5 linked regions of the Cricetulus griseus genome follow. The protein of the gene in region 1 purifies or fractionates together with the protein of each later gene. This does not show direct contact. Links are inferred from orthologs where the notes say so. Each region holds a gene or a part of one and is shown in the gene's direction. Other genes may lie near its edges.

Region 1 (3,500 bases):
TGATCCACCTGCCTCTGCCTCCCGAGTACTGGGATTAAAGGCGTGAGCCACCAATGTCCCGCTAGTACGTTTTAATTTTTAACATTAGGTTATGTAATCCACAGAACCAAAACCACAGTTACTCACATTTTGGATTTGACAGTTATTTTTCCAAGTGGTTGACGGAAGCTAAGGAAACAAGTGATGCCAAATAAGTGTTTCTTTTGACATAATGATAAAGGTTAAAAATTTAGGCTAAAGTTGAAATTTTGGGTATGAGCTTGTAAAGTCTTTTCTGATGAGTTTGGTGATGGGATTGTAGATTTTTCTATATTGTAAACTGGAGGGAAACTTTGGAAGGTGTAATTCATATAACCTTACCTAGTCATACTCATAGAGAAGAGACTCAGAAATACTCTTTCCCTTTAAATGTGAAGAAGGACAGTCCGCTGTGCTTGGAGGCAGGCATCAGTCAGCACTTTAGTGCCCTGCTTTCTGAAGGAGGTGACTGGGGGGTGGGGGCGTTCATGCTTCTCATGGTGGCTCCTCCCTTTCGGCACCAATGTCAGTGCTGACCCTCTTCTGATAGGGCAGAACCAGCTACTATTTTTTTTAATTGCTGAGGAATTAAATGAAAATTAAACCATCCAATCAGAAAATGGTCTTTTTAACGATTGTTCTTTTTTTCTTTTTCTTTCTTTCTTTTTTTTTTCCCCATTTCTGCCATACTGGCTAAGCTTATGTGGTAGCATTAGGGTTTTATGTTTTGTTTGTAAAGGGTTTAGTAACTACAGGAAATATAGCTGAGGGCTGGGAGCAGAAGGATTGGGGGAGAAAATCAGTTCATTTTACTTTCAGAGGAAACAGCTGCCTGGCTCTTTGCTTTGGGGTTGGCACCCTTGGAGTTGGCCCTGATGCTTCTCTTTTGTCCTCAGTTTCTCGGCAGGTTGTGTGGCACTGCCAGCACTAATCAACATCAAAGCTGTTATTGAACAGAGGCAGTGTACTGGAGTCTGGAACCAGAAAGACGAATTACCTGTGAGTTCTATTGTTTGTTTTCCCTTCCCACCTTAGAAATTGGGTGTTTTGCTGGGCAGTGGTGGTGCACGCCTTTGATCCCAGTGCTTGGGAGGCAGAGGCGGATGAATCTCTGTGAGTTCAAGTCCAACCTGGTCTACAGAGCGAGTTCCAGGACAGGTTCCAAAGCTACACAGGGAAACCCTGTCCTGTAAAACAAAAAAAAAAAAAGAGGAGGAGGAGGAGGAGGAGGGAAGGAAGGAAGAAGAAAGAAAATGGATGTTTTAAGAGTTAAAATGCTCATCATGCCATTTAATCAGAAAACACTATTGTACCCATTTAACGGGTTTGGTTTTAATGCACATAACATGAGTAAAAAATAAGGTTGGGAGTATAGTTTTGGGTCCAACACCACTCTAAAAAGGAAACAAATCAGTTAACTAATTAAAATAGACCTGAGGGAGTGATGGCACACACTAATTCCAGCACTCAGGAAGCAAAAGTAGGCAGATCTTTGAGTTTGAGACCAGCCTGGCCTACATAGTGAGTTCCGTAAGCAGGTGCCCAGCTTGGGCAATTTTATTTACTGTCTGTGAGCATCTTTGAAATTTGCACACTGAAGTAGAGCAATCAGTAGGATCCAACTGACAGTGTGTATTGGGGGCTAGGAAAGCAACAGGAGGTAGTGGCTGGTAATCCTTCCTCAGGATTACTTTGATGTGCTTTGGCTTTTGTCCTCCTGTTTTTGTTTTTAAAGATGCTCTTACTATGTGTCTCATTTAGTTTCCTCTGGGTTTGTAGGTCTGTTCCACCATTTTTGTGGTAGTGTAGTTTGGACTCAGATCCCTGTGAATACATCTCCTACGCTTTGTCAATTTTCCTTAAAGAACCTTTTATTTTTGTTTATTTTTTGAATCAGTGTTTCACTGTGTATCCCTGGCTGGCATGGAACTCCATGAATAGATCAGGCTTGGCCTCAAGCTCAGATTTCCTTTCTCTGCTGGGATTAAAGGTGCCACCACACCTGGCAGTGAAGTTCTTGTAGAACTATAGCTGTTGCAGATTGAGAAGGAAGGGAAACAATGTGTGTGTTGAGGTTCTGGGGTGAAGCAGCTGCTCTGCTATATGACTTCAAGCTTTTATATAATTAGATATGTTTGTGGCAAAAATATAATGGTGATAGCATGCCATGAGCTTTAGTGTACAAATCACAAAAGATCCTGTTGAGATTTGGCTCAAGCAGATACTGGTGGTACAAGCTTGTAATTCCAGGCACTTGGAAGGCTAAGGCAAGGGCATCACAAGTTCAAGGCCTGCCTAGACAACTTATGAGATCCTATCTCAATAAGCAAAAAAAAAAAAAAAAAAAGCATGTGCATAAGGGATAGGATTGGGGTGCTGGCTTCAAGCTGCCTAGCCACATGCAAAGCCCTACATTGGGTTCCCACCACTGCAAAATAAGAAAAGAGAAAGGGGGGGGGCACAAAACTTGGCTTACCTCCCTGTTTCAGGTTTTCTCTGGACCACTTCACACAAATGACATAGGAAACTCAGACCTAAAGTTCATACAGAAGATAACTATATTTAGGCTGTGCTTGGAGGAGTTGTTTCACTGAGTTTATCACCTAACCGAGTGCTGCCTACAGGGCAGTCAGGATATCTGGTGGTTTTGCCTTTGATATATATGTTCTAATAAATTTTCAAGGTGTTTAGGCTGGGGATGTGGCTTAGTGGTGGTCACTTGTGGTCTAGGCTGTGAGTTTGCTGCCTGATACCACCAACAAAAAAGTATTGGTTTCTGAAGCATGGTATCTGATTCCTTCAGACCCCAAAATCTGGTTTACAAAGTAGTAGTGTAGTTTTGCAGACCAGTTTAACTCAACTTTGAATCTTAAGACTTCCCTTTCTTTAAGACAGTTCCCCTAGAGTCACTCCAAACATGTTCTTGCTGCACCGTGCACAGGTGTCTGGAGCGTTTTCAGGGTTTCACGAGCCTTTCTACATTTTTCTTTTCTGAACAGATTGAAGTGGACCTTGGTAAGAAGTGCTGGTATCACTCCATATTTGCCTGCCCCATTCTTCGTCAGCAAACAACAGATAACAATCCACCCATGAAATTGGTTTGTGGTCATATTATATCAAGAGATGCCCTGAATAAAATGTTTAATGGTAGCAAGTAAGTGTCTGATTTCTTAACATTAAATAAACCTTCTTGTGTAAAGATAAGATGTAATAAGGATACATGAATGAAGCTAGAGTTATGTAGTTATTTACTTATTTGATTCTTTGAGACAAGGTTTCTCTGTGTAGCCCTGGCTGATCTGTAGACCAGGCCAGCATCAAACTCAGACTTGTGTCTGTCCCTGCTTCCCAAGTGTTGGCATTAAAGGTGTACAGCACCATGCTCAGCCCATAATTAGATTTAGAAAGTAGTTTCTTAACTATTTATCAAAAGTGGATAACATCTAATCTCTTTTGTTAGTTTAATCTGCTCAAGGATTTGG
Region 2 (3,500 bases), on another chromosome or scaffold:
CGCACACCTTTAATCCCAGCACTTGGGAGGCAGAGGTAGGTGGATCTCTGTGAGTTCGAGGCCAGCCTGGTCTATAGAACGAGTTCCTGGACAGCCTCCAAAGCAATACAGAGAAACCCTGTCTCGAAAAACCAAAAGAAGAAAGGAAGCTGCTTGAATATGATACAGTTTCATGAAGACTAAAGTGGTCGCTTGCTGTCTGTGCTTTGTGTGACTGATCATTTGGGAAGTAGAATAGCATTTCTTCACTTGACAGTTGCAGGAGAGCACACAGTGAGCTTCCCTCTCTAGCCCCATCTGCCATCCAGTATATACTGAGCCTCCATCTCCATCCCACTCTGCTATCCAGTACATACTGAGCTTCCCTCTCTAGCCCACACTAGCACATACTGAGGCTCCCTCCCCAGCCTGCCGTTCAGTGGGAAATATGCCATCTAATCCTTTAAAGAACTTGTACTGATGTTTAGATTAATTTTATTCCAGTGCTGAGGCTGTAACTCAGGCTTTGCACATATTAGGCAAGTGTTTTACCACTGAGCTAGATCTTAGACCTAAATTAAACTTTAAAATGGTATTTTGAAGCCGGGCGTTGGTGGTGAACGCCTTTAATCCCAGCATTCAGGAGGCAGAGGCAGGCAGATCTCTGTGAGTTTGAGGCCAGCCTGGTCTCCAGAGTGAGTGCCAGGATAGGCTGCAAAGCTACACAGAGAAACCCTGTCTTGAAAAACCAAAATAAATAAATAAATAAATAAATAATGAAAATGGGGGCTGGAAAGATGGCTCAGTGGTTAAGAGCACTGACTGCTCTTCCAGAGGTCCTGAGTTCAATTCCAGGCAACCACATGGTGGCTTACAACCACCTTGAATGAGATCTTGTGCCCTCTGCTGGCATGGCAGGCAGAAGACTGCATACATAATAAATAAATAAAATCCCTAAAAAATAAATAGATAGATAGATAGATAGATAGATAGATAGATAGATAGATAGATAAAAAATGGTATTTTGAAGTTTGAATGAGGCAGAAAAGAGAATCCATTTAAAAAGAAAAAAGTTGGAGAAGGAGAAGGGTTGGGAGTATAGTTTATGGTAGAGCATTTGTCTAGCAAAGTCCTGGGTTTCATCCCAGCATTGGAAAGTAAATGAAAACAGTTAAAGCAGTGGAGTTGTCTCCAAACAATTTCTTTTAGAGTAACTCACATTGTATTTTGGTTTCCCTGAAGCCCTGGGGCTTCTGACCCCATCTTGTGGAGAACAGGAGTCTTTCACAAATGGCAGGTCACCTGTCTCTGTAGTGTGTTCTTATGACTTTGACCAGGGTAGAGCTTTAGTGAGATGTCACAGGGACTCTCACCTCAGAATGACCACAGGCTGCAATAGATGTGACTCAGAGGTAATCAGAACCCAGTGACAGTTCCTGAAAACCAGACTGAATCGATTCCTAGGTGATTCTGTCAAGCGGTCTCCAAGAGGTAAGTAGACAAGAAAGTCATATTGTTTGGTCTGTTAGATCTCCAGCAATGATCCCTCCTCTGAGTTGCTGGTCCTGTGTGCACAGAAAGGTAGGTAGGATACTGTAGTAACATATATGAACACCACCCCAAAACCAGGCAGAGACCTTTTTTCTAGCCATCTTTAGAACCTTCTGGTGTCTTACTGAAAGGGAAGGTATTGACTGATCTCATATCTATGTGTAGGAGCAGTTCCTGGTCCCGGACCACACAATCAAAGACATCAGTGGTGCTTCCTTTGCTGGTTTCTATTACATCTGCTTTCAGAAGTCAGCAGCCTCCATAGAGGGCTACTACTATCATCGGAGTTCAGAATGGTAAGGATCTCAAGGCTGGTGCTGCAGCAAAAGTTGCCATCAACTCCAGCCATCACATCTGAAAGAGATTCTCTCAGTCTACCTCTGTCCAAATTCCATACTCTGTGTTTGTACTGAGGCCATTTAGATGACCTCACATAGAACAGGGACTCCTCCTTACCTATAGAGTAAAGTAATGAAATAAAAGTAGATATTATGGTCAGGCAGTGGTGGCACATGCCTTTGATCCCAGCACTCAGGAGGCAGAGGCAGGTGGATCTCTGTAAGTTTGAGACCAGCCTGGTCTACAAGAGCTAGTTCCAGGACAGCCTCCAAAGCCACAGAGAAACCCTGTCTCAGAAAAAAAAAAAAGAAAAAAGAAAAAAAAAAGTGGCTATTATGTAAAGATATAATTTCTAAATACTGTTAAATTTATAAGCCTTTTTATTTAAGGCATGAATGTTTTTCCTGCTTGTATATATGTATAGCACATGTGTACCTGGTGCCTGTAGAGATCAGAAGAGGGCATTGAATCCTCAGGAACTAGAGTTATGATTGGTTGTGAGCCACTGTGTGGATGCTGAGAACCAAACTTGGATTTTCTGCAAGGCCAACAAGAACTCTTAACCACTAAACCATCTCTCTAGTCTTATTTCTAAATGTGTATGTGTGTGTGAGAGAGAGAGAGACAGGTGTGCGCGCGCACACACACATACACACACACACACACACACACACACACACACACACACGAGACACTAACTTATGTGTGTTATGTGGGTAGAACCTAGTACCTTGTACATACTAGGTAAGTGGTCTACCACTAAGCAACACCCAGTATATAATTTTAGGTAGTCTTTCATTTTCAGGAATGCTTGCCTCAATCCTATTCATTTCATATTTACTCCTCATGAATTTAGCAGTAACTCTAATGTAATCTCTTATAGACAGTGTGACCTTCGAAGTTACCAGCTGGCACTGCCTGTCATGCACTTGATCTTGGTCTGTTGAGCTAGGGGCCATGAAAGTTCATCTCCCTGCCTTATGTTCCTCCAAGGCTATGGTGAGAAGGCCACCGCAAGTGATGGCTTTTGCCATCTTTTAAAGGACTCTTGTGCCTCCTTGCTATACAGTGAGGACTAGCTACACCAGGAAGCACCTTATTTCTTTTCTGAAAGTGGAACACTTGGGATGAAGAGGTGGCACAGCAGTTAGGAGTACTTCATGTTCTTCCAGGGAACCCAGATTCAGATCCTAGCACTCACATGGCAGCTTACAACTGCCTGTATAATGCTAGTTCCAAGGAATCTAATGCCCTTTTATTCCGAGTACCTTCACATATGTAGTGCACATAAATTCACACAGGCTCACACACATAAATAAAAAGTTAAATAGAATTTTAAAAAGGGGGGGGGCAGTAATGGTGCATACCTTTAATCCCAGCACTTAGAAGGCAGAGGCAAGCAGATTTCTGTGAGTTCAAGACCAGCCTGGTCTACAAAGTAAGTCCCGGTACTGTTACACAGAGAAACCCTGTCTCAAAAAAACAAGCAAACAAACAAAAAAATAAAGGTTAAAAAATAAAATGGATGGGGCTAGAGAGATGGCTCAGAGGTTAAGAGCACTGACTGCTTTTCCAGAGGTCCTGAGTTCGGTTCCCAGCAGCCACATGGTGGCTCACAACCATCCGTTATG
Region 3 (3,208 bases), on another chromosome or scaffold:
GACTTGTGAGACAGATGTGCCCTGGCTAAGCATCTCTGCCTCCTACAGCTTTTACTCCTACAAGAGCTTTGAGACAGCTGTGGCCCCCAATGTGGCCCTAGCACCACCAACCCAGCAAAAGGTTGTGAACAGTCCACCATGCACCACCGTGGTCTCCCGGGCACCAGAACCTCTCACCACTTGTATCCAGCCACGGAAGCGGAAGCTGACCATGGAAACACCAGGAGCCCCAGATATGCTGACATCCGTGGCTGCCCCTGAGGAGGACAAGGATTCTGAGGCTGAGGTGGAAGTTGAAAGCAGAGAGGAATGTAAGTATGGATTGGACTCCGTTCCTTTGGGTATCAATACAGGGGATGGGTAGGGTGGGGCAGGTGTGACCAGGCCAGTGTACTCCACAGCACTAATGCTCTGGTTTCTCTGTCTCTGTCCTCAGTCACCTCCTCCTTGTCCTCGCTGTCCTCTCCGTCCTTTACCTCGTCCAGCTCTGCCAAGGACCTGAGCTCCCCAGGCATGCACGCTCAACCTGTGGCTGGCCCCGATGCTACAGTCCATGCTGATGCCCCAAGCGGGCTGGAGGCAGAGCTGGAGCATCTGCGGCAAGCCCTGGAGGGTGGCCTGGATACCAAGGAAGCCAAAGAGAAGTTCCTACATGAGGTGGTCAAAATGCGTGTGAAGCAAGAGGAGAAGCTGACAGCAGCCCTACAGGCTAAGCGCAGCCTGCACCAGGTAAGCCGGGCAGCAGGCAGGACCATGAAATACAGGAGACAGCCTCCCTCTTGGGCTGCCCAAGCCCTCTTCCCAGGTCCTCTGGAGGACCCAGCCCTCTGAGGCACTTTGATGTCCAGAGTCCTTCTGTGCTCACATAGTGGTCTCAGCTGCAGCTTCCCCTATGTGTGGGCCTCACTGAAAGAACTGGCCTGTTTTCTTGGCCATGGTAAAGGCCAGTGTTAATGGTGAGTGAGGAGTAGCTGAACTAGTGATGCCTCTCTCTCTGTGCCAGGGTCTGGTTTATTCTCTACTAGCAAGACTTGTGCTCTGCAAATAGAGTGCATGGATGACTTCTGAAGCTGTCTCTCCAAAGGGGACTTAGCAGCAGGCTGTGGGGAATAGATGCTTAGGAGGTGTGCTTGTACTTACACACTGCTTACTGGCTGTTTGTCTGGGCCCCACCTCACTGTTTCCTAGGCAGTAGCCATTCCTCTTATACCTTGTTTTCATGCTGTTTTGTTTTTCTGACATGCATAAGGGAGGGCCAGTTCTTGGGCAGCCTGGGAAGATTGAGGAACTCAGCTGTGTTGGTCTTCACCAGGGCTCAGCATTAAGGCTTTGCTGTAGGCTCAACCTCTGCTGAATTCACACCTCAGCCTGAGTCTGGCAGCTCTGGGTGCAGCCTCACATGTGTGGGCTTTAGCACAACACAACCTTGTCAATCCTCAGGGCTGCAGGATTTCAGATGTTCTCCTCTGAGTGAGTCTTAGTCATTCCCTCATCCTCTCTTGCCCCCATTCTGGGTGGAGGTGTTATTTCCCACATGGGGAAACCATGGGGGACGGGTGTCATGCTGCATTCTAACAAGTGGGGCAAGAGCAAAGGAAGCACCAAAAGGAAATGGCTCCATCTGGCTGGGGGGTCACCTCCGGGCCTCAGATGCACAGGTATCTGACGCTGTCTACCTGGTGGTTTCCTCCCCTACCCATGAGGCATGGCAGGTGCGTTTCTGAGGTGGAAGAGTGTGAGACGGTTCTGCTGCAACCTTGATATAAGCAACCAACAGCTAGTAAGCGTTCTGCCCTGTAGGGAAGGGAGATAGCAGTCAGGTCAATAGACTGGGGTGCAGGGTGGGCACAAAGGTGCTGGGTTGGCAATACCTTGAACCTGTCTGCTACATGTGTCCTCCCAGGAGCTAGAATTCTTGCGTGTGGCCAAGAAGGAGAAACTGCGGGAAGCCACAGAGGCCAAGCGCAGTTTGAGGAAAGAGATCGAGCGTCTCCGAGCTGAAAATGAAAAGAAAATGAAAGAGGCCAATGAGTCTCGGGTGCGCCTGAAGCGAGAGTTGGAGCAGGCACGGCAGGTCCGGGTGTGTGACAAGGGCTGTGAGGCCGGCCGTCTGCGTGCCAAGTACTCAGCCCAGGTACTAGGGTGGGTTGGTTGGTACACTGACATGCACAGTGAATAGCTACTCTCACAGACTCAACATCCGTGATGTAACCATTCAGGCTGGATCTGTGATCATGTGCCATGCCTGGAGACCCTGAGGTGTATCCAGCAGACGTGGGCTTGGGTGTTAGGGACTGTTTTCCATAGCCAGGGTTGGAAGTCCAGGTGGCCCCAGAACTGGGAAGCAAGTTCTAAGTTAGGATCAGGAGATGGGCCTTGGTAACTGCAGAGGGGCAGCTTCCAAAGCTTAGGACTCACACCCAGAGGGGCAGGGAAGGTCTTCTACATCTGTAATGCTGTTTGGTTCCCTCTTGGGTACTTCAGAAAGGAGGCTCTTCCAAGCCTGGGCATCTGGGCGTTTGGGGGCAGACATGGCACCAAGGGCTCAGTAGGAACTCAAGGGAGTGGTAAGTGCTAGTGTTAGGCACTACTGACCACTCAGCATCCCTTTCAGATTGAGGACCTGCAAGCGAAACTGCAGCATGCAGAGGCCGACCGAGAGCAGCTTCGAGCTGACCTGCTGAGGGAGCGTGAGGCCCGTGAGCACCTGGAGAAGGTGGTGAAGGAGCTTCAGGAGCAGCTGTGGCCTCGGCCACGGCCTGAGAACGTGGGTGGCGAGGGCAGTGCTGAGCTGGATCCCTAGCCTGGGCAGTGCCTGCCACTGCCACATGGACCTCCATGCGTGCGCAGAGGGCGGCGGGTATGTGGCTCTGCGGGCCCAGCCCATGCCCCTGCAGCCACACAGCACAACGTCTCTACTGTGCCTATTACCAAGCGAGTGTTTGTAACCACATACTTTTGGAATCCACTGCAAAATTTTCTACTGGCCAAGTTCAAGTGAGCAAGCCATGTCCCCCAGCTGCACCCAGAGTTGAGGCTGGCTCTGTGGCTTGTAGCTGGTCCTCTGCTTGCTAGAACATTCTAACATTTACACTTTTGTTATAAGCTATTTAAAACCAGTACGGAGACTTGATATTCAGAAAATCAACATGTTTTTTAATGACTGACTGTAAAAGGCCCCTACACGTGACGCCATCTGGACACCCAC
Region 4 (3,500 bases), on another chromosome or scaffold:
GATCGGTATGCAGGGTTAGTAAGACCCAATATGCCATGACTCATTGCTGGCTCTGGTTAAATCTTGTAGCATGGCATCAAGAAAGCAAAGTTCCTTAACTCAGTATATTCATTTTAATTGGAGTAAATGAAAATTGAAAAGGTGTTTAGAAAGCTATCCTGAATTTCTGAACAGTATTACAATATGTGTGTATAATAATTAAGAGATGTACTTAGCATCATTAAGAGCAAAGTTCAGGGTTTCTTTGAGAATGTGAAACCATACATACTGATCCCATTTTGGCACATCCGAAGGAACAAACTAAAACTGTTCAATCTGTTGCCTTGTTCTCGTAGATGTGTATGGATTCAGAAAAACATATGATCTACACCTTCGGTGGTAGAATTTTGACATGTAATGGCAGTGTAGATGACAGCAGAGCCAGTGAACCACAATTCAGTGGCTTGTTTGCATTCAACTGCCAGTGTCAAACCTGGAAGCTTCTTCGAGAAGACTCCTGTAATGCTGGCCCTGAGGACATCCAGTCTCGAATTGGACACTGCATGCTGTTCCACTCAGTAAGAATATTCTGTACATTGTGTTATTTTGTCATGTGTATCTTTATAGGAGAGATTAGTAAAAAAGCAAAGCTTTCGCTAGAAATAAATGATTAATACAGCAGTGAAAGAGAAAATAGAACTGCCATTTAGTCATTTCCATCAAGTTAGAAACTAACTCCTAAGTGATTATTACCTGAAGATAGAGGTAGGTGCTTTTATTACTGACTTTACTGGTTACCTAGCTGTCGTATAATTAGCTCTTTTTTAGGACTTAACCATTAGTGAACATTTCTTAGTAGTTAGATGGATAATTTTGAATTATTTTTCCTGATGCTACTCTCAATTAAGTACAGATTGGTTTTATAGAATTAGAACAAGAGTTTACTAACAAAAACAACAAAAAGAGTTCTCCTTTTGAAGCAGGTAATCCTTCTTTGTGTGAACAAAGTATTAGACCATATGTTATTCAACATGCATATTTTAAAAATATTCTTTATATGAAGTGCAAAGAAGGAGATAATAGTGAATTTCTGAGAACATATGTCTTTCAGTTTGATCAGTAAACAATCTGTCTGTTTTTAGTGTATCTCTCCTACTTTAATTACATTCCTGTCACTTTTAGAGCTTTTTACATTTTATTATGTTGGGAATATTTTTCAGGAAGACCTCAGTTAGGATGTCTTTATTTAGCAGGTCCTTCATATCTGTGGACTATGCATCCACAGATTTAAACAATCATGGATTAAAAATACTATTAAAATTTTTTTTATCTCTACTGAACATGTATAGACTTTTAAAAAAACTTTATTTGCTAAACAACTGCTCTCGTGTCCTACAGTTTATACTAGATATTAAAAATAATGTACAGATGATTTAAAGTACATAAGAGGATATGTATATGTTATTTGCAAATCCTAAGGGATTTGGGGGTCACCTGTACTGATACTGAGGGACAATTGCACCTACAATGATAGCACTCTTAAAAAATGGTATTACCATTATCATATCCGTCACAATGAAAGCAGTTTGTAATATTATAGAATGCCTGGTCTGCACTTATGCTGTTCTGATGGCCTGAATAACAGCTTTCCAGAACTGGTTTGTTCAGGTTGGGATCCCAAATACACCTACCTGGGTACTGCCGCAGAATGTCCTTCTTTTCTCCGTGTACATTCTACTCACTCTGGTTTTTAAAAATCAGAATTATTGTAATCTACAATGTTTCCCATTCTCACTTGACTGATTGTATCTTCATTGCATTATTTAATGTGTTTCTCTGTCGTATTTTCTATAAACTAGTCATTTCTACCTGAAGGCTTGATTTATAGTTGCTGTCCTTTCACAGGGAGGCCAGGAAGAAACACAACAACACTTCACCAGTATTCTGATCATAGGATATCAAGAGGCATTTAATGTTGTTGTTTATGTTTTTGATAAATGTTAGTGAGTTTAGGAATTATTAGTTTGGTTGATCAATTATGAAATTTCCTATAATCTTTACCTATTGATATTCATTGGGTATTCATTGTCTAGATTTCATTAGCTATCACAAAATAGTGATTTTTCTGATGTTGTTTCTTCTGCATTATTAAGTGTAATTCTACTTTTGTTTTTTTGTTTTTTAAAAAGAACAACAAAACATCTTTATATCATGAGTTGTTTGGTTACTCTAAAATGAAACCATCTAATTCTTGGGCCAGGCCTGGTGATGCACACCTGTGATCCCAGCACTTTGGTGACTAAGGCAGGCAGACCATGAGTTTGAGGTCAACCTGGGCTGCACACAGCAAGTTCGAGGCCAGCCAGGAACACATAGAAAAACCCTATCTTAAAAAAAGAAAAAGAACTAAACCACTGGGTGTGGTAGTGCATGCCTTTAATATAAACAGAGACAGTGGGAATCTCTTTGTTTTTGAGGCCACCCTGGTCTACATAGTGAGTTCCGAGTCAGTCAGAGCTATGTAGTAAGACTTTGTCTCAAATAAATAAATCTAAGTGAATTAATGGATGTATGATTTGTTTATTTGCATGTTAATGAATTCAGTTTCCAAAGTTAACCAGTGAGGTAGAAAAAAACATTGTAATTATGAGCTCATGAATTTTTATATGCATGATATTTTAAATTCAGTGCTGTCAGTTTTTCGGGTTTTTTTTTGTTTTTGTTTTTTTAATCTATCTTTGACCAGTAGGAGCCTCCCCTTTATCCATATATACACATTTATCTTTTGATAAAACAAAGGACAAGTCGTGAGTTCTCACTGATAAACCAATTCAAATTATTTTTTTCCCTTTTACTTAGTGACTTTGATTTTTGTACTTGTATATCTTTTAAGGTTAAAAATCTTATTTCATGTTGTATTACTTGTTTCATCTGTGAAAATTTTCCAGTTGTCAAAGCTAGCAACAAAATCACTAGTGTTTCCAAAATTAAAATTGCTTTCTGGTGAATTTTTAATTTAAGACTTAGGCCATAAGAATGCATTATTAAAAAAAAACTGAATTAAAAATAAGTATAATACTTCTGAGTGTGGTTAGAATTCTGTGTGTACATAAAGTTGTAGCTTTATATATAGATTTTTTTCATTTTTGTTTCTGTTTTTAAATTTAACATTCTAATAAAAGCATGCATGTGGTTATAAACTAAGTCAAGGTACTTTTAGATAACTCTGTTTATTATTTTAGGTATAAGAAGGAGTTACGTTTCTTATGGGTGGCTGTACTTCATTGTGTCTTCATTTATCCAAACACATTTCTTGCTTGCCCACTCATGCTCACTTATGCTCCCTTGTAGTCATACAAAAGACAATAACTTTGCTATTTGGCTTTAGTAGGTAGTGTGCCATGCCTCAGCAATGCTTTTGGTAGTGTGGAGAGAGCTGCCTTTCTCTCTTCCTCTTCATTCTAGCAAAGGAGTGTTGTATGGGATCTCTCATGAAGCTGCTGCTATAGAGATGTAAAGTT
Region 5 (3,500 bases), on another chromosome or scaffold:
TGTGAGCTTTTTTTGTTCTCCCCTCATATTCTTGATGACTCCATGACAGCTGACCAAAACCAGCCTCTGCTGTGGTCCTGGGCAACCGGGTTCCCTCAGTCTTTTCTGTGAGCTCCTCCAGCTAGCAGCATGCCAAGAGCCAGCCCACCTGACTTCTGGCCAGGGATATGGAGGGGATCTCAGCCCTTACTCACAGCCATGCTCTTCTCTACAGAAATCCAGAAGCTGGTGCTTGAAGGCCGGGTGGGTGAAGCCATTGAAACGACCCAGCGCTTCTACCCTGGGCTGCTGGAGCACAACCCCAACCTGCTCTTCATGCTCAAGTAAGTCAGGTTATGGTACCAGAGCCTGGCCCTCAGCTTGCAACAGGAGCCCACACCCTGGGCCAGCCTAGAGCATCAATGCTCTGCTCCCTTCACAGGTGTCGACAGTTTGTGGAGATGGTGAATGGCACCGACAGTGAAGTCCGAAGTTTGAGCTCCCGAAGCCCCAAGTCCCAGGACAGCTACCCTGGCTCCCCCAGCCTCAGCCCCCGACATGGCCCTAGTAGTTCCCACATGCACAACACAGGTGGGTGGCCATTCTCCAGAGTCTCTGGGAAGAGCTGGTGTGGAGAAGAATGGCCACCTACCTACCTTTCATTGTGGTGGGCTTAGGACTGGCTGCTGGACTGGGTAGAAGGGAAAGGACTACTGTGGCAATTCCTGGGGCCCCACTTCTGACCACCCTTCTCTGACCCACCTGGCTTCTAGGAGCAGACAGTCCCAGCTGCAGCAATGGCATTGCATCTACCAAGAACAAACAGAACCACAGTAAATACCCCGCACCCAGCTCCTCCTCCTCATCCTCGTCCTCCTCGTCCTCCTCTTCCCCGTCCTCCATCAATTACTCCGAGTCCAACTCAACAGACTCCACCAAGTCCCAGCCCCACAGCAGTGCCAGTAACCAGGAGACCAGGTGCCTGTCTTGCTCCTCTCTCTCCCTCTGCTTCTGTTCTCTTCCCGCTGGACCTGCCACTGGGTAGTGTCTTCTTTTAAATGCTATCTTCTGCCCTTTACCCTCACCTCTTTTGTAGGTCTTGCCTGGATTTCAATCCATTGAAAGGTCAAGCCAAACACTGGTTCTGGGTTCTGTCCCCATTCAAGATATAGCTGTCAATTTCCTTGGCTCTGGTTTTGTCTGGAGATGCTGACCCTGCCAGACTTGAGAACGCAGGGACTCCTTCTCCAAGGAGGCTAGGCCTATTAGAACCTCAAGGGTCTACAGTTAAGCAGTTTTTATGAAATCAGGCTCATGGGCAGCCAGGTGATCTGGGCTGTAGGCAGAAGCTCCAGATGGCTCTTAGCAGGTTCTAGGCATGCCTAAAAGCTAACCTTGGTTTGGGTCCTGACAAGGCCCCAATCAGTTGAGTTGGTAGGGACAAGTGGGATATATATTAAAGAGGTGTGTCAACTCAGAGAGCTACTGAGAAGAGTCACAGGGGCAGCTTTGGGACAAGAATAGGAATCATGTAACAGGCACCTGGAGATAACTGTAGTAGGCGCTAAGTTTTGGAGCCTAGAAAGCTTGGGCTATCCTTTTGTGTTCCTGACAGTCCTTCAGTTTGATGCCATCATAGGAGCCATTATAGTCCCTCAGGTAAACTCCTTCAGTTTACATGAAGTGATGGTAAACAAAACCTGGATAGAGGCCCAACTCTTATCTCAACTCTTCTCTACAGTGACAGTGAAATGGAGATGGAGGCAGAACATTATCCTAACGGTGTGTTGGAGAGCATATCCACGCGCATAGTCAATGGTGCCTACAAGCATGAAGACCTGCAGACAGATGAGTCCAGCATGGGTAAGTGTTGTTCCTTAGTATGACCCAGCCCCTATGTTCCTTGAGAGGGCAACATACAGTCCTAATGCCCATTTCCTCCTAAGAGGGGCTAAGATGGCAGGCTCTGGCAGCTTGAGAAACTGCAGCTGGACTGAATCCACCACTTTCTTAGTCATTCCTGGATGCATCATTGAGGTGGCTTCCAGTGTGTAAGAAGGTCCATGCTCGCTGCCAAGACCCCTTCAAGGCTAAAGAGAGTACAAGAATGTGGACCTCATTAGTAACATGCATTTGTGCAGGGTGGGATGAGGGAAGTTGCCAAGTCTTGTACCACTTCTAGTCTATATGCCAGCTGGACTTAGCTGCTCCACCTGCTTGGTCTCCTAGCCCTTGCCTGCCTTTGGCAGAAGCTGTAGCTTCATGGTGTCCTTCCTGTTCTTCCCTCTTCGCCCTCTAATGTGTTTTCTGCTGGCCTCTGGGTGCAGACGATGGGCATCCACGGCGGCAGCTCTGCGGGGGCAACCAGGCTGCCACAGAAAGGATCATCCTGTTTGGCCGAGAGTTGCAGGCATTGAGTGAGCAACTGGGCCGAGAGTACGGCAAGAATTTGGCCCACACGGAGATGCTGCAGGTATAGGATAAGCCAGGTCCTCATACAAAGCAGTTCCCCATTTGATGCTGGGGCTCTGGGAACATCTAGGGGCTGTAGTAATAGGCCAGAATGGGCTCTAGTCATGTCTGCAGTAGGATGTGGGGTGTTTAGGGTGTTCTTCACCCATTCTAAGACCTAAAGAGGGTATAGCTTTGCCTGACTCTATAGTCCAGATATAATGAGCTCTCACTGGGCCCCATGCAGTATTCTGTCCTTTTCTGGAGCTATGGGACTATGTATAGTATGCTACATTCCTCTCACGAGTGCTCTGTCCCTTAGGATGCCTTTAGCTTACTAGCATACTCAGACCCCTGGAGCTGCCCAGTTGGCCATCAGCTTGATCCCATCCAGAGGGAGCCCGTGTGTGCTGCTCTCAACAGCGCCATTTTAGGTAAGTACATCTAATGAAAGCAAAAGTTAACCCATGAGTGTGTGGGTGGCCACCTTCCGTCTTCCTAGGAAGAGCATCAAGATTAGCATAGGCCAATTCACAGGGAACCTGACCCTAACACCCTCTGCCTACCTGAGTTGGCTGCTACTTCATGGCCATGGGCCAGACCAGCTTGCTCTAGAGAAGGCCAAGGTCCTCGGGTTCCTATCATGAATGCAGGGCCATGGCCTGATGTCTAGGACACTCAGACAATAATACTGTTCTAAGAGTTCTGTCCATACCTCTAACCTCTAGGGAACTTTGACCTGTGCCCAATTCCTTGGCTAGGCATTGACCATACCTTGTAATCTTCTCCACAGAGTCTCAGAACCTGCCAAAGCAGCCTCCTCTGATGCTCGCCCTGGGCCAGGCTTCTGAATGTCTACGACTTATGGCCCGAGCAGGCCTGGGATCTTGCTCTTTTGCCAGAGTCGATGACTACTTGCACTAGCTGACCTTCCTGGCTGGCTCTGTCTAGCCATCCTTCAGCCCTAGGGCTGGAACAACCCTGCCCTCCATAGGCACCTGGTACAGAGACCTAGAAGCCATGGGCAGAATCCCACTCCTCCTACCTGGCCGGTCCTCCCTTCTTCCCTC

The links. Proteins that work in one complex are often made in the same cells at the same time.
Region 2: the proteins of Rmnd5a (region 1) and Gid4 purify together in Homo sapiens (affinity purification with mass spectrometry; 4 studies listed by BioGRID and IntAct, counting the BioPlex papers as one, with this or other methods). This does not show direct contact. The link is inferred for Cricetulus griseus from reciprocal best matches to the Homo sapiens genes RMND5A and GID4.
Region 3: the proteins of Rmnd5a (region 1) and Ski purify together in Homo sapiens (affinity purification with mass spectrometry; 3 studies listed by BioGRID and IntAct, counting the BioPlex papers as one, with this or other methods). This does not show direct contact. The link is inferred for Cricetulus griseus from reciprocal best matches to the Homo sapiens genes RMND5A and SKI.
Region 4: the proteins of Rmnd5a (region 1) and Mkln1 purify together in Homo sapiens (affinity purification with mass spectrometry; 4 studies listed by BioGRID and IntAct, counting the BioPlex papers as one, with this or other methods). This does not show direct contact. The link is inferred for Cricetulus griseus from reciprocal best matches to the Homo sapiens genes RMND5A and MKLN1.
Region 5: the proteins of Rmnd5a (region 1) and Ranbp10 purify together in Homo sapiens (affinity purification with mass spectrometry; 4 studies listed by BioGRID and IntAct, counting the BioPlex papers as one, with this or other methods). This does not show direct contact. The link is inferred for Cricetulus griseus from reciprocal best matches to the Homo sapiens genes RMND5A and RANBP10.

Annotation. Positions count from the first base shown.
Region 1 is NC_048601.1:63,077,558-63,081,057, reverse strand, and holds part of Rmnd5a (E3 ubiquitin-protein transferase RMND5A), read left to right. Parts: intron 1-914; coding exon 915-1,017; intron 1,018-3,017; coding exon 3,018-3,172; intron 3,173-3,500.
Region 2 is NC_048600.1:74,560,194-74,563,693, forward strand, and holds part of Gid4 (glucose-induced degradation protein 4 homolog), read left to right. Parts: intron 1-1,695; coding exon 1,696-1,826; intron 1,827-3,500.
Region 3 is NC_048595.1:1,152,582-1,155,789, forward strand, and holds part of Ski (ski oncogene), read left to right. Parts: intron 1-48; coding exon 49-311; intron 312-436; coding exon 437-729; intron 730-1,903; coding exon 1,904-2,134; intron 2,135-2,614; coding exon 2,615-2,803; 3' UTR 2,804-3,208. UniProt on the Homo sapiens protein: May play a role in terminal differentiation of skeletal muscle cells but not in the determination of cells to the myogenic lineage. Functions as a repressor of TGF-beta signaling.
Region 4 is NW_023276806.1:196,392,383-196,395,882, reverse strand, and holds part of Mkln1 (muskelin), read left to right. Parts: intron 1-335; coding exon 336-557; intron 558-3,500. UniProt on the Homo sapiens protein: Component of the CTLH E3 ubiquitin-protein ligase complex that selectively accepts ubiquitin from UBE2H and mediates ubiquitination and subsequent proteasomal degradation of the transcription factor HBP1.
Region 5 is NC_048596.1:182,048,947-182,052,446, reverse strand, and holds part of Ranbp10 (ran-binding protein 10), read left to right. Parts: intron 1-214; coding exon 215-323; intron 324-421; coding exon 422-570; intron 571-752; coding exon 753-957; intron 958-1,720; coding exon 1,721-1,842; intron 1,843-2,306; coding exon 2,307-2,452; intron 2,453-2,752; coding exon 2,753-2,864; intron 2,865-3,223; coding exon 3,224-3,354; 3' UTR 3,355-3,500. UniProt on the Homo sapiens protein: May act as an adapter protein to couple membrane receptors to intracellular signaling pathways.